Oryzias latipes: one gene and its partner. The protein of the gene in region 1 interacts with the protein of each later gene in a biochemical or structural test. Links are inferred from orthologs where the notes say so. Each region holds a gene or a part of one and is shown in the gene's direction. Other genes may lie near its edges.

The links. The genes of interacting proteins can lie anywhere in the genome.
Region 2: the proteins of gopc (region 1) and somatostatin-like receptor F_48D10.1 form a complex in vitro, tested with the Homo sapiens proteins (2 studies listed by BioGRID and IntAct, with this or other methods). The link is inferred for Oryzias latipes from reciprocal best matches to the Homo sapiens genes GOPC and SSTR5.

Annotation. Positions count from the first base shown.
Region 1 is NC_019882.2:11,943,020-11,948,132, forward strand, and holds part of gopc (Golgi-associated PDZ and coiled-coil motif-containing protein), read left to right. Parts: intron 1-582; coding exon 583-747; intron 748-1,653; coding exon 1,654-1,677; intron 1,678-2,813; coding exon 2,814-2,989; intron 2,990-3,115; coding exon 3,116-3,281; intron 3,282-3,357; coding exon 3,358-3,453; intron 3,454-3,736; coding exon 3,737-3,901; intron 3,902-3,978; coding exon 3,979-4,153; intron 4,154-5,113.
Region 2 is NC_019859.2:28,479,612-28,485,727, reverse strand, and holds the start of somatostatin-like receptor F_48D10.1, read left to right. Parts: upstream 1-2,189; 5' UTR 2,190-2,762; coding exon 2,763-3,332; intron 3,333-6,116.

The DNA of each region.
Region 1 (5,113 bases):
ACACAACTACAACTGTCTGTCTACGAAAGGAAACGTTTGTAATAGACTGTGGTGTAATAAATGCCAATGTCTCTGACCGCATAAAAACATGGAAATCAATTCCTAATTTGCAATGCAAAGTGTTGATATTTAAACTCTGGAAACTCAAAATTTTTGATGCTCTGCTGCATGAAACAGAATTCCTCTAGATGCTCAAATCGCATAAAAAGCTAAAAGAAAAAACAACAAATTTTGCTTTGTAATTTACCAAAACGTTTTTGTTTTACACATGTATCAATAATTATGAACGAAGCAAAAAACATTCCTATATATTCAGAAGGATTTTTCTTCAGAATTTCTGATCTGCATCGTCGATGCAGGAGCTTTGTCTACGGTTACTTGTCTGAGCTGGTCCGGAACCCCTTAAGCAACTGTGGTGCTGTCCGTTTGAGTCTTGCTACGACATACAGTTCCTCTCGTCATTCAACCTGCCAGGTGGAGTACAGTCCCTAAATCAAGGATCTGTTACAGGATTATCTAAAGGTCGGTCCTGGTCTGACTTGTCTGCATTTATGTTGAAAAACACTCTTCGCTTGTCTCCAGGCTCAGCTGGTCGACCTGCGCTCCGAGCTGACGGAGGCGAAGGCTGAGCGGGTGGTGGCGGAGAGGGAGGTCCATGAACTGCTGCTGCAGTTGCACGCTCTCCAGCTGCAGCTTCGGGCCCAGCAAGGCCAGACAGAGGACTCAGACACCATCAAGGACAGACTGGTAGGTTGGATGGTCAGACGGTCATCGATTGATCCATCAAGTAACATCAAATGAAATCCATTAGGTTCAATTCTAATGGTAAAGTTCTGTATGATCCGAACAGAATAGATCTAACAGTTATCGGCCGTTTGGAGCTAGCAGTCATGGGTAACCTTATCAACGTTAGCCTTCAGCCGTCCACCTGGTGTTTTCAGACATCTTTATTAAAGACATCTCTGGTTAGACAGGATAAAGAAATATAAATTAGTCAGAATGCGACTACAAAACTAAAACAGCATTGTGCTTTTAGCTCCACTGCTCTGCACTAATGTCCTCAATGAATCTCAGAAAGAGGAGTTTTTATGGAGCTTCTTACATCATAAATGTCTCCAGAAGAATGCTCCACTGGGACAAACAGTGACAGACACAGATCTGGGTTTCAGAGGCTTCAATGGGGCGGGAGAATCCTCCACTCACTGTAAGCTCAGCAGGCCACAGTGGTGGAAAATTCACTTTTATCTGCAGATCTCTGATGACGCTGAAGAGACTCAGCGAAACTAAAGAAGATAAGAAAAGGTAGAAATACATCCAAACCGCATGAAATGACCTCCAGCAGCCATACCAAAGATTTCTCCTCACTGCTAAAGAATACATTTTTCCATTTCTTTCATTTAGAATATATGGGATTTAAACAAATAGAATGTTTATTTTAACTCCTTTGTTTACTGTTGCAACTGATGGTTTGGTCTTTTACTGTTTCCATCTACAGTTTTCTGCTCCCTTTCAGCACCATCCTGAAGCCCTGATATGCACTTTGATTCTTTGTCATTTTTGCCTTTCCTGTGCACACATTAACACCAATCAAAGATGAGTTTCTCTAACCCACATTTTCTTCTGTCTGTCCTTTCTCCTCTTCTGTCCTTAAAGCCTGCACCAACTCTGGAGGTGATGGTAAGTTCTCCTCTCCGCTTTGGTGTAGCTGTAGATTTGACACCATGGGATCTGTTGCTTCCCTCATTGAGCTGATATTTACTTCCTGCTGCTTTGTCGACTCTGCTTCAGTGGCTTGTTGGGTGGAAACGCCACTCCCTCCCCTCCCCTCACTGGCTACAGTCATTACTTGGCCAGTCACCATCTTGGAAATGGAAATATGAGCTCATCAGTCAGTGTCAACGTTGACTTTTTCCATGAGAATGTTTTCTGAGATGGCACTTTATGGTTACGCCAAATCTAATAACTGCAAACAATCCTAATGAAAAATTTCGTTTTGTGCAATGATTTGGTCTAAATCCTAAAGAAACTTGTATATCTAGATGAGAGAAAATATCTATTGTTTTTTTATGAAGCTCTACGGCTCAAAACAGAATTAGGAACTTTATGGTACTATTTTCCGTCAAAATGTGCCTCACACCAAACAAACATGGAGGAAGTCAGTAGCAAATGCGCTCCAGACTAGAAAATTGTTCCGTCGCATGAATGTAGTTTGTATAGAAGAAGACCGACGTGGATCAGACAGCATTTGTTTGTAAAGTTTGTAAGGTGTTGTGTCAAAAAGAAAGCACTTCCTGGTGAGGAACGCTGTCAGACGGGGTGCAGGGGGGTTTTCTCTTTTGGCAAAACACCTGTTGACCGGTCCTAACAACAAACACACAACTAATGGAGTTTGTCGTCTCTACAGGAACCATAACCAAGAATGCAGAGAGAATCAACAAGCAAAAGCTATAAAAGCAGCGTCTAGTGACTGCAGAAGTCACACAAAAGTCCAGACGCTGCATTCAGGCACAGCTAGGAATTGGCCTATGCTAAATAGTAAATATGTTTAGCAGTAGATGTTAACATGATTAACACTTGGAAAAAGGTTCTAAGTGAAAGAAGTATTTAGTTTCTATGACCATTGTTCAGTTAGTCGTGTCACACTGCCTTTCCACGTTGCAATGTTACTGATATCTTAATCAGGATATAAACCTAGCTATGTCATGATATATAACATTTTGATCATTTGGAGCATAATCGTCCTAAAACCTATAGTTTGTTGTGTCGCCAGTTTGCAAAAGCTCAAACGTGATTAGTTGTGCTTTTTTTTCCAGGAACAGGAACTTATGGCTGGTAAGAAGGAGAAGTTAGCTGAGGCCAGACTGGAGAAAGAAGTGCATCTGTTTAGGAAGGAAAACGAGGCCCTCCGCAGGCACATAGCAGTACTGCAAGCTGAGGTGTACGGAGCCAGATTGGCTGCCAAATATCTGGACAAGGAGCTGGCTGGAAGGTGAGAAGCTGGAGGGAGCAGCGGGTTTAAAGATAAGACCTGGTGATGAATCTTTTTCATTGAGTAAACGAGACTTAGGTTGTCTAAGGGTTGTCTTCCCTAAGAGGCTGGCACTGTGACTTTCAGGGTGCAGCAGATTCAGTTACTCGGTCGGGACATGAAGGGACCCGCCCATGACAAGCTGTGGAACCAGCTGGAGGCCGAGATTCACCTCCACCGCCACAAAACTGTAATCCGGGCATGCCGAGGTCGCATCGACCCAAAGAAACCTCTACCCTCTCCTGTGGGACACGTGAGTGGAGATCTCAAACATCTAAATGCCGTTCATGTTTTCATGGTTTCGCTAAAAGCTATCGGTGCAATTCCAGGAACATGACTTGCTGAAGAAAACGCAGGGAGTCGGTCCTATCAGGAAGGTGGCGCTGGTCAAAGAGGACCATGAAGGCTTGGGGATTTCTATCACGGTAAATACACGATTGACCTCTTTTGTGAAAAATAAAGCAACTATCTGACACATAGTAGACCCATAGAAGGCATTGGTTTGAACCAGGCACTTTGTATCTGGGAAATGTAACCTTAAGGAAGCACCAATTACCAGCCATGTTTTAGATTCTTTCTTAGACTTTTCAGGAAGTGAATTTGTCACTTTGGTCTTAAGTAACCCTCTGCAATAGTAATGGAACAAATGTGTTAAACTTCTTAGATCCTGTTTTGGCTTTAGATCCTTTAACTTGGATTTCCTTTTAGGGCGGGAAGGAGCACGGCGTTCCCATCCTGATTTCTGAGATCCATCCCGGTCAACCTGCAGACCGTTGTAGAGGCCTGCACGTCGGAGATGCCATCCTCGCGGTCAACAGCATCAATTTAAGGGATGCGAAGCACAAGGAGGCAGTCACCATCTTGTCACAGCAGGTAAGGTGTGGCTGCAGTCCCCGCTGTGGCCACAGGGAGCGCTCTCTGACCTACTCATTGTGGCGATTGTGTTTTAGAGAGGCCAGATAGAGTTTGAGGTGGTGTACGTGGCGCCGGAGGTGGACAGCGATGACGAGAACGTGGAGTATGAGGACGACAGCGGACATCGATACCGCCTCTATCTGGATGAATTGGAGGACAGCAGCAGCGGCGGCGGGGCTCCACCCAACAACAACGCCGCCTCACTTCAGGGTGAGATGAACTAAAGACAAATTGACACAATTGTCCAGATTAGAGAAACACGTTTCACCAAACTCAGACTATCTGTCGGATTTGAAAAGTATAAAAAGGTTTTGAATTGGATTTTTTAGGACTTTGACTTGATCTCGTTTGATTTAACACCAGAACTTTAGTTCCAGTGTTGACACTCTTTCGGCTATTGTAACCTTTTACGCCTCTAACGTAGTAATTCCCTCTGATTCTGCTACTTTACTTTGGTGATGTGTTGCATATGGGTGCTAACCCAATAGGAAAAGCTGCTTTTTTCCAAGAGTCAAAGACTTACGGTACATCAGAGAGTACCTTATTTAGGTGTTACTGGTGACATTTCTGGTGTTAAAGGGTTGAATTCAGTCATAAGAGGTTGACTTTGATTGTTTAAAATGTTAAATATTTGAGTTGCACTAATGCACTATTGCACTAATTTTAAAGAGTTTTTTTCCTTATCGGTTTGTGCTAGGGCTGCACGATATGAGGAAAACTTGCGATATGCGATATTAGTGATCAATATTGCGATAACGATAAATTTGCGGTAAATAAACAAATAGTAAAATAAACAAAAACATCATTCCCATTTCATTGCAACAGTTTAAAAATTATACTCCAAATGACCCTCATCGACATGGGGTCAAACGTCAGGGTGGCTAACCCTGGTCCTCAAGAGCCTCAACCCTGTCTGTTTTCCAATTCTCCCTAGACTGCTCGATAATGATAACCAAAATCAGGTGTGTTCAGTCAATCAGGATGTGAAATCACTTGAGTCAGCCAATCAACAGCAAGCTGGTTAAGGAGAGCTGGAAAACAGGCAGGGTTGAGGCTCTTCAGGACCAGGGTTAACATAATAGGCCTCCATCTGATTGGTCAACAATGGGAAGGCGTCCATCTGATTGGTCAAAGCATAAAGGGATTTATTTGATTCGTTAAATGCTTCAA
Region 2 (6,116 bases), on another chromosome or scaffold:
CCCGCCCCTCATACACAAAACGTACAGTATTAAGTCCGATTGCTTTGCACAGAAACGATTTGCTCCATCCACCGGCGCAACGGGGACGAAGTGCTCCTCCTTGAAGCCGCCCTGGCCAGAGGTGTCGGAGTAGATAGGAAGGGGAGACAAGGAGCGCGCGGGGCGGGAGCGGAGCGCAGAGGCGTCCGCGGAGTGCAGAGGCTTTGAATTCTGACGCACGCGCCGCACTGAGGCGCGCGTATCGTGCTGAGGCGCGCGCTTTTCAGTCGTCGCTGCTTTATTTTACCGGTGTGTTTTTTAAACAGTCCTGTTACTCCCATAACGCTGCCGCGACACAAGCGGAAGGAGAGCTTTTCCCGTTCACCCCTCCATGCACTGCTGATACTTGCTCATTCTTAAACACATACAATAGTATGGCGAGCCGGGCGTTGGCCCCGCCTTTAGCCCCTAAGACTCATGGGAAATGTGGAATCGCGGATGTAAATTTCCTCATTATAACTGAGGGATGTAATGTTGATTATATGGTTACTGTTTGTAATTTTATGTATGATACCTAGATTGTCAATAAGTAAAAAGAAAAGAAAAAAGAATGAAATAAAAACACCATAACTGAGGAACTTGTGAACAGAATACAGGTCCATGCTGTTTGACAGATATCGATACACTCAAATACATGAGCCAGAGGCAAAGCTGGCTACACCCACAACGTGCTAATGAACTGCACTCACTCTGGGAAGCTGACCGTGATCTGTCAGGATGACAATATCGCCTAACACATGCGCGGCTTGTACTCTGACGCGGCTTGTGTATGTATAAAAGTAGTTTAACACGTAAAAATGGGTGGGTGCGGCTTGTAATCGGGTGCGCTTTGTAGTCCGGAATTTACGGTAATCCATGGACACCAGTGAAGATCACAAATCATTGAAGAAAAAAGGTTCAGCGCACTGTCTAGTGGGGTCCAGATGACCCAACTCCCAATGTTAAAGTGCCTAGAATAGCACAAGGGTTAAGTGACGGGGAGTTTGTAAAAGGAATGTGCTTGAAAGTAGCTTACATTGTTTGTCCAGAACAAAAGAAAAAGTTTGAATAAATAAGTCTGTCAAATGATACAATTACTAAACGAGCAAAGATCTGCGCAGCAACCTCCGAGAGCAACTGGGAAAACATCTGGAGGACCTGGTTAACTGTACAAATGACACTTGGTCATTGAAGTTATTAAAAACCACTTTTTCTGTTTATCCATTATTTTTCCCCAAAATTGGCCCCTGGTCTAATGTCGAGTTCTTAATTTGGCCCTCCGCAACAAAAACTTTGAGAACCCCTGTTTTAAACGATTTGTTTTGGGTAAAATCTGGTTTGGGAAGCACAAATATGAAAAAAGCAGGAGGGGGGGGGTCTAACCCTCTCAGAACTTCTGCTAAGGACACATCCAGAAAGAGTGACAGCTGACTTGCAAAACACACAGGTGCAGTTAGAAACAAACACAAAATACAAAAACTGCGTCATATAAAGGTATTCTAGAGTCCTCCTCAAAGCAAGCAAAACCCCATGCAGAGCAGGGAGTGCAAACACCTCCCTGAATCAGGCAGAAGTTCCAGCTTCTTCACACATTTGCTCTTCTAAAAACCAGAAGAAAGGCTGAAGAAAGCTACAATCTGCTGATCAACATGATCTCTGCCATCGCTATATTTTAAGACTCGTTTTATTTTTGCCAAATCTCAAAGGCAAAAACAAGATTGAGACAGTCAGTCACGCTCTGCAGTGTCTGAAACACGGGAGAGCAGCAATATGTTGAAAATGTGCCATAAATGCAGACGTAAACCACACTAAAGTAGTGACTTCCAGGTAACATAGGTGTGAAATAAAGAAACGATAAAACAGAGCATTAATAGATAAGGTTTTCCGTTTTTGACAGTTCTCTGATCTAACATCTGTAATCCTTAAATCTCAGTGAAGTGACTGAATAAACTTGTGCTCGCGAAAGTTGCACGCGGGTACAGACGCTCCCGACAAACCTGTTGGATTTTTCATATTTTTGTTTGATATTTATAACGATATGAATAAATAATATTACTGAAGATGGATGTGGTAATGAGTGCACATATGTGTTTGCGTATGCGCGCGCTCGTGTATGTGTGTCTTGGGGAGGGCTGCTCCTCGCGGTCCCTCCGCGTGCGTGCCGCTGCACCTCTCTTCACTCACGTGAATGACACAAAAGCTGCGCGAGCCTAAAGTTTGATGCAGATCTTTGCAGATCATCCATCGCAGCTTTTAAGATTATCGTGATGCCGTCAACAGTTAACGTTTCTTTGCACATTTGGACCAGAACAGATGAGGACCTCCGCGCGCTCCTATGCCTCCCTGCAGCAGTTTAAGTTAAGCTGCAGAACCGCTCGTGAGCAGAGAGGACACCGGAGGTGAAGTCTGTATCTTTGGACGCGCTGGCACAGGTTGACGCACGAACGTCCACGCGATTTACGGAGCAGCTCGGCAGATCTTCCTGTTGTGATACCTGGAGCGTGACCACATGCGTGGATTCATCTACTTAACCGGAGCTGGACCCTAAAGCGTCTGAGAGTCAGACAAACCTGTTGACTTCACATAGAATTAAATTTTTGTCTCTAGGCTTAATTGCGTTTCAAGCCTGGTGGAAGTTTTGTTCAGGGACATTGTGACCTATCATCTTGGGATTTGAGCCCCTGACCAGCTGATTGGGATGCAGCTGAACCTAAAAAGCTGGACTTAAATCTGCATTGGACTTCATGATGGAACCTCAGAACTGGTATACCTTCCCAGAGCTGAATTCCTCTGAAACCACTGCCACTCCCTTTCTCTACTCCAGCCATCTCCCCCCAAGCCTCTCCTCCAATTTGTCCACTCAGACCATCCCCTTTCAGGGCAGTAGCACCGTGGTGACAGCCATCATCTCCCTCACAGTCTTTATGTTTGGAATGACTGGAAACACACTGGCCATCTACGTGGTGCTCCGCTATGCCAAGATGAAGACCGTCACCAACATCTACATCCTCAACCTGGCAGTTGCAGATGAGCTGTATATCATTGGGCTCCCCTTCCTCACCACACAGAACGTGCTCTCCTATTGGCCGTTTGGTTCCTTCTTGTGCCGTATTGTCATGACCGCAGACTCTATGAACCAGTTCACATCCATCTTCTGTCTCACAGTCATGTCCATGGACCGTTACCTGGCAGTGGTCCATCCAATCCGCAGCACCAAGTGGAGACACCCCCGCGTGGCCAAATTGGTGAGCGCAGCGATGTGGGCTGTGTCCTTTGTGGTGGTCCTACCAGTGGTCATCTTCTCTGATGTACAGGTACAGTACACCTGTAACCCCCCCTCCCCATTGTTTTCCCAGTTATAGATGTGAACAAGCTAAGACAGTTTTTGAAGAACAATTCCTACACAAAATTATGCAAGGTGTCTCACAAAAATAGACAAGAATTAAAACAATAAAAGCAAACATTTACATCACAAATAGAACAGAAAAATTAATGCGAGGCAAAAAAGTATTTGATAGTAATCGGTTCAGCAAGGTTAGCACTCTTGCCTCACAGCAAGAGAGGTTCAAGTCCCAGCTGGGGGACCTGAAACAGAACACCAGTGGGGGACCTTTCTGTGTGGAGTTTGCATGTTCTCCCCATGCATGCGTGGGTTTTCTCCAGGAACTCCGGCTTTCTCCCACCATCCAAAAACATGCTTCATAGGTTAACTGGTTAGTCAAAATGATGGCCCTGTGACAGACTGGCAACCTGTCCAGGATGTCCCCTGCCTTTACCCACGAGTGGCCAGGATAGGCTCCGGCAGCCCCGTGACCCTGAAAGGGCCAAAACGGGTTTAAGAAGAGGAATGAATGAATGGATGGATGGATGGATGGATGGATGGATGGATGGATGGATGGATGGATGGATGGATGGATGAATGAATGAATGAATGAATGAATGAATGAATGAATGGATGGATGGATGGATGGATGGATGGATGGATGGATGGATGGATGGATGGATGAATGAATGAATGAATGAATGAATGAATGAATGAATGAATGAATGAATGAATAAGCTAACGAACAATTCTGCTAGTTGTCTCACATAAAATGATGGGGATAAACCAGTACAAAAATATAAATATATATATATATATATATATATATATTATCCAAGTGAAGACATTTCACTCAAGCAAAAAGGAATAGTTTATTAAAGAAAGTTAATAAAATGTTAGAGTCAAACCAAGGTGGAAAGAAACAAAACACAAACTAACTCAAATATCAAACATGAGAAGTCAAACCTGAACCTAACCAAACAGGAGAAATAAATACGAGAAAATTGTGATTTTTACCCGCAAAAATTAGAAACCAAGTAAACATTTGCATAAATGTAGTCATGTTTATCAGCAAGCCTTTGCATGAAATGTTTTTGGTCTTCTCTTCCTCTGTTATTTGCTGTCTGCACATGATGTAAACAAGCACACGCGAGACACACTGCTCCCCCGCGGTCACTTCACCTGTGTCGTGTTAAGTTTTGGCTGATGAAACACAGGGACATGTAGCGATTTTTAACAACACCCAGTAAGAACGAAGGATAAACCTGTTACACCTGCAGCAGAGCTGTTCCGTCTGTCACCTAAATGTAAACAGGACTGACCTTTAAGACGTGGCGGATAAATACAACAAGATTAATTCATTGTTATTTTAAATATATATATATATATATATATATATATATATATATATATATATATATATATATATATATATATATATATATATATATGTTTGAAAATGGGTTTACAGTTAGATGATAATAATAAATAATAATGGATTGGATTTATCTGCACTTTTCCATCATGGCCATTATTCATTAACTCCTCATTAATTCCTGGTGATGGTAACCACTGTCGTAACCACAGCTGCCCTGGGGCCGACTGACAGAGGCGTGGCTGCCAGTTTGCGCCTACGGCCCCTCTGACCATCACCGGGACATTCATACACATTCACACACCAGTGGAGCTGCACTGGAGGCGGGCAGGGTGAAGTGTCTTACCCAAGGACACGACAGCCTGTGGCTGACAATAACAACGTGTTCATACCAATTTAAAATTTTTATGCAATGTCATTTTCTTTTAAAAAATTGAAAAAACACTTTAAAAGTTAAACGCCTAAGGTATTTCTGTGTAAAATAGTCTTATTATTTGGCCGAAGGGGGTATTTCAGTCATTTTAAATCCCACAAAAAACAGAACAACCACCAACCTTTTTTATTAGCTGAAGCAGAGTCACCAAGCATATTTCAATCTCTGAAATAAACGATAATTCTCCAGCCAAAGTAACAAAGGTAAGACCTGCACAGCAGGTTTGTTCTGTAAAACGGGAAAACATTAGAGTTTATTTGTAGAATTAATGCTTTGTTTTTAAATGAAACTGATAAAGCAGGTTGATGTTCTGTTTTATTTATGTTCTCTTTTGAAACTTTGACTTTAATTTTCTCTTTATAATAACCATTTCATCCTGTTCCTTCAGTGTATCTGTTATGTTTAAAGTATGATTAAAAAGAAAATCTAAACAACCTGCTGATGATTACAGATTTCTTTTATGAACAACAGAGTCTTCAAGTTTGACAAATAGTAAAGTAAAAGAAGTAAAGAAATCCTTCAGTTTATGTAATTTTTGCTCTAAAATTACAGGGTGGTGTTAGATTTTAAGTGATTCAAGTAATGGATGTAAAAATTAAGAAGATATTTTGATCAATTATGTTATGTCTGCTAGGAAGGCGGAGAAGTTTCATTTTGGAACGCGTATGCAAAATGTTCATCTAAGTGTAGAAGTTTTGTGGCATCTCCACTAAAGATAAAAAAGGCAGTTTGCATAACATATCTATTGAAAACACTGTCATGAGTTAAGATTAAAAGCTTGGGAGTGTTTTCAAGTTGTTACCTTTCCATTTTTTTGTTGGTGATGCTGTGTCTAATTTACAATCCTCTTGTTCTCTATCTACTGTCAGTTTAGTCAGCAAAACTTTGAGGATGGAAAAATTGTAGAGAACATTTTTATGATTGTTGATAAATGAAACGAAGCAACAGTGATGTTTGTGTTTTTTTTT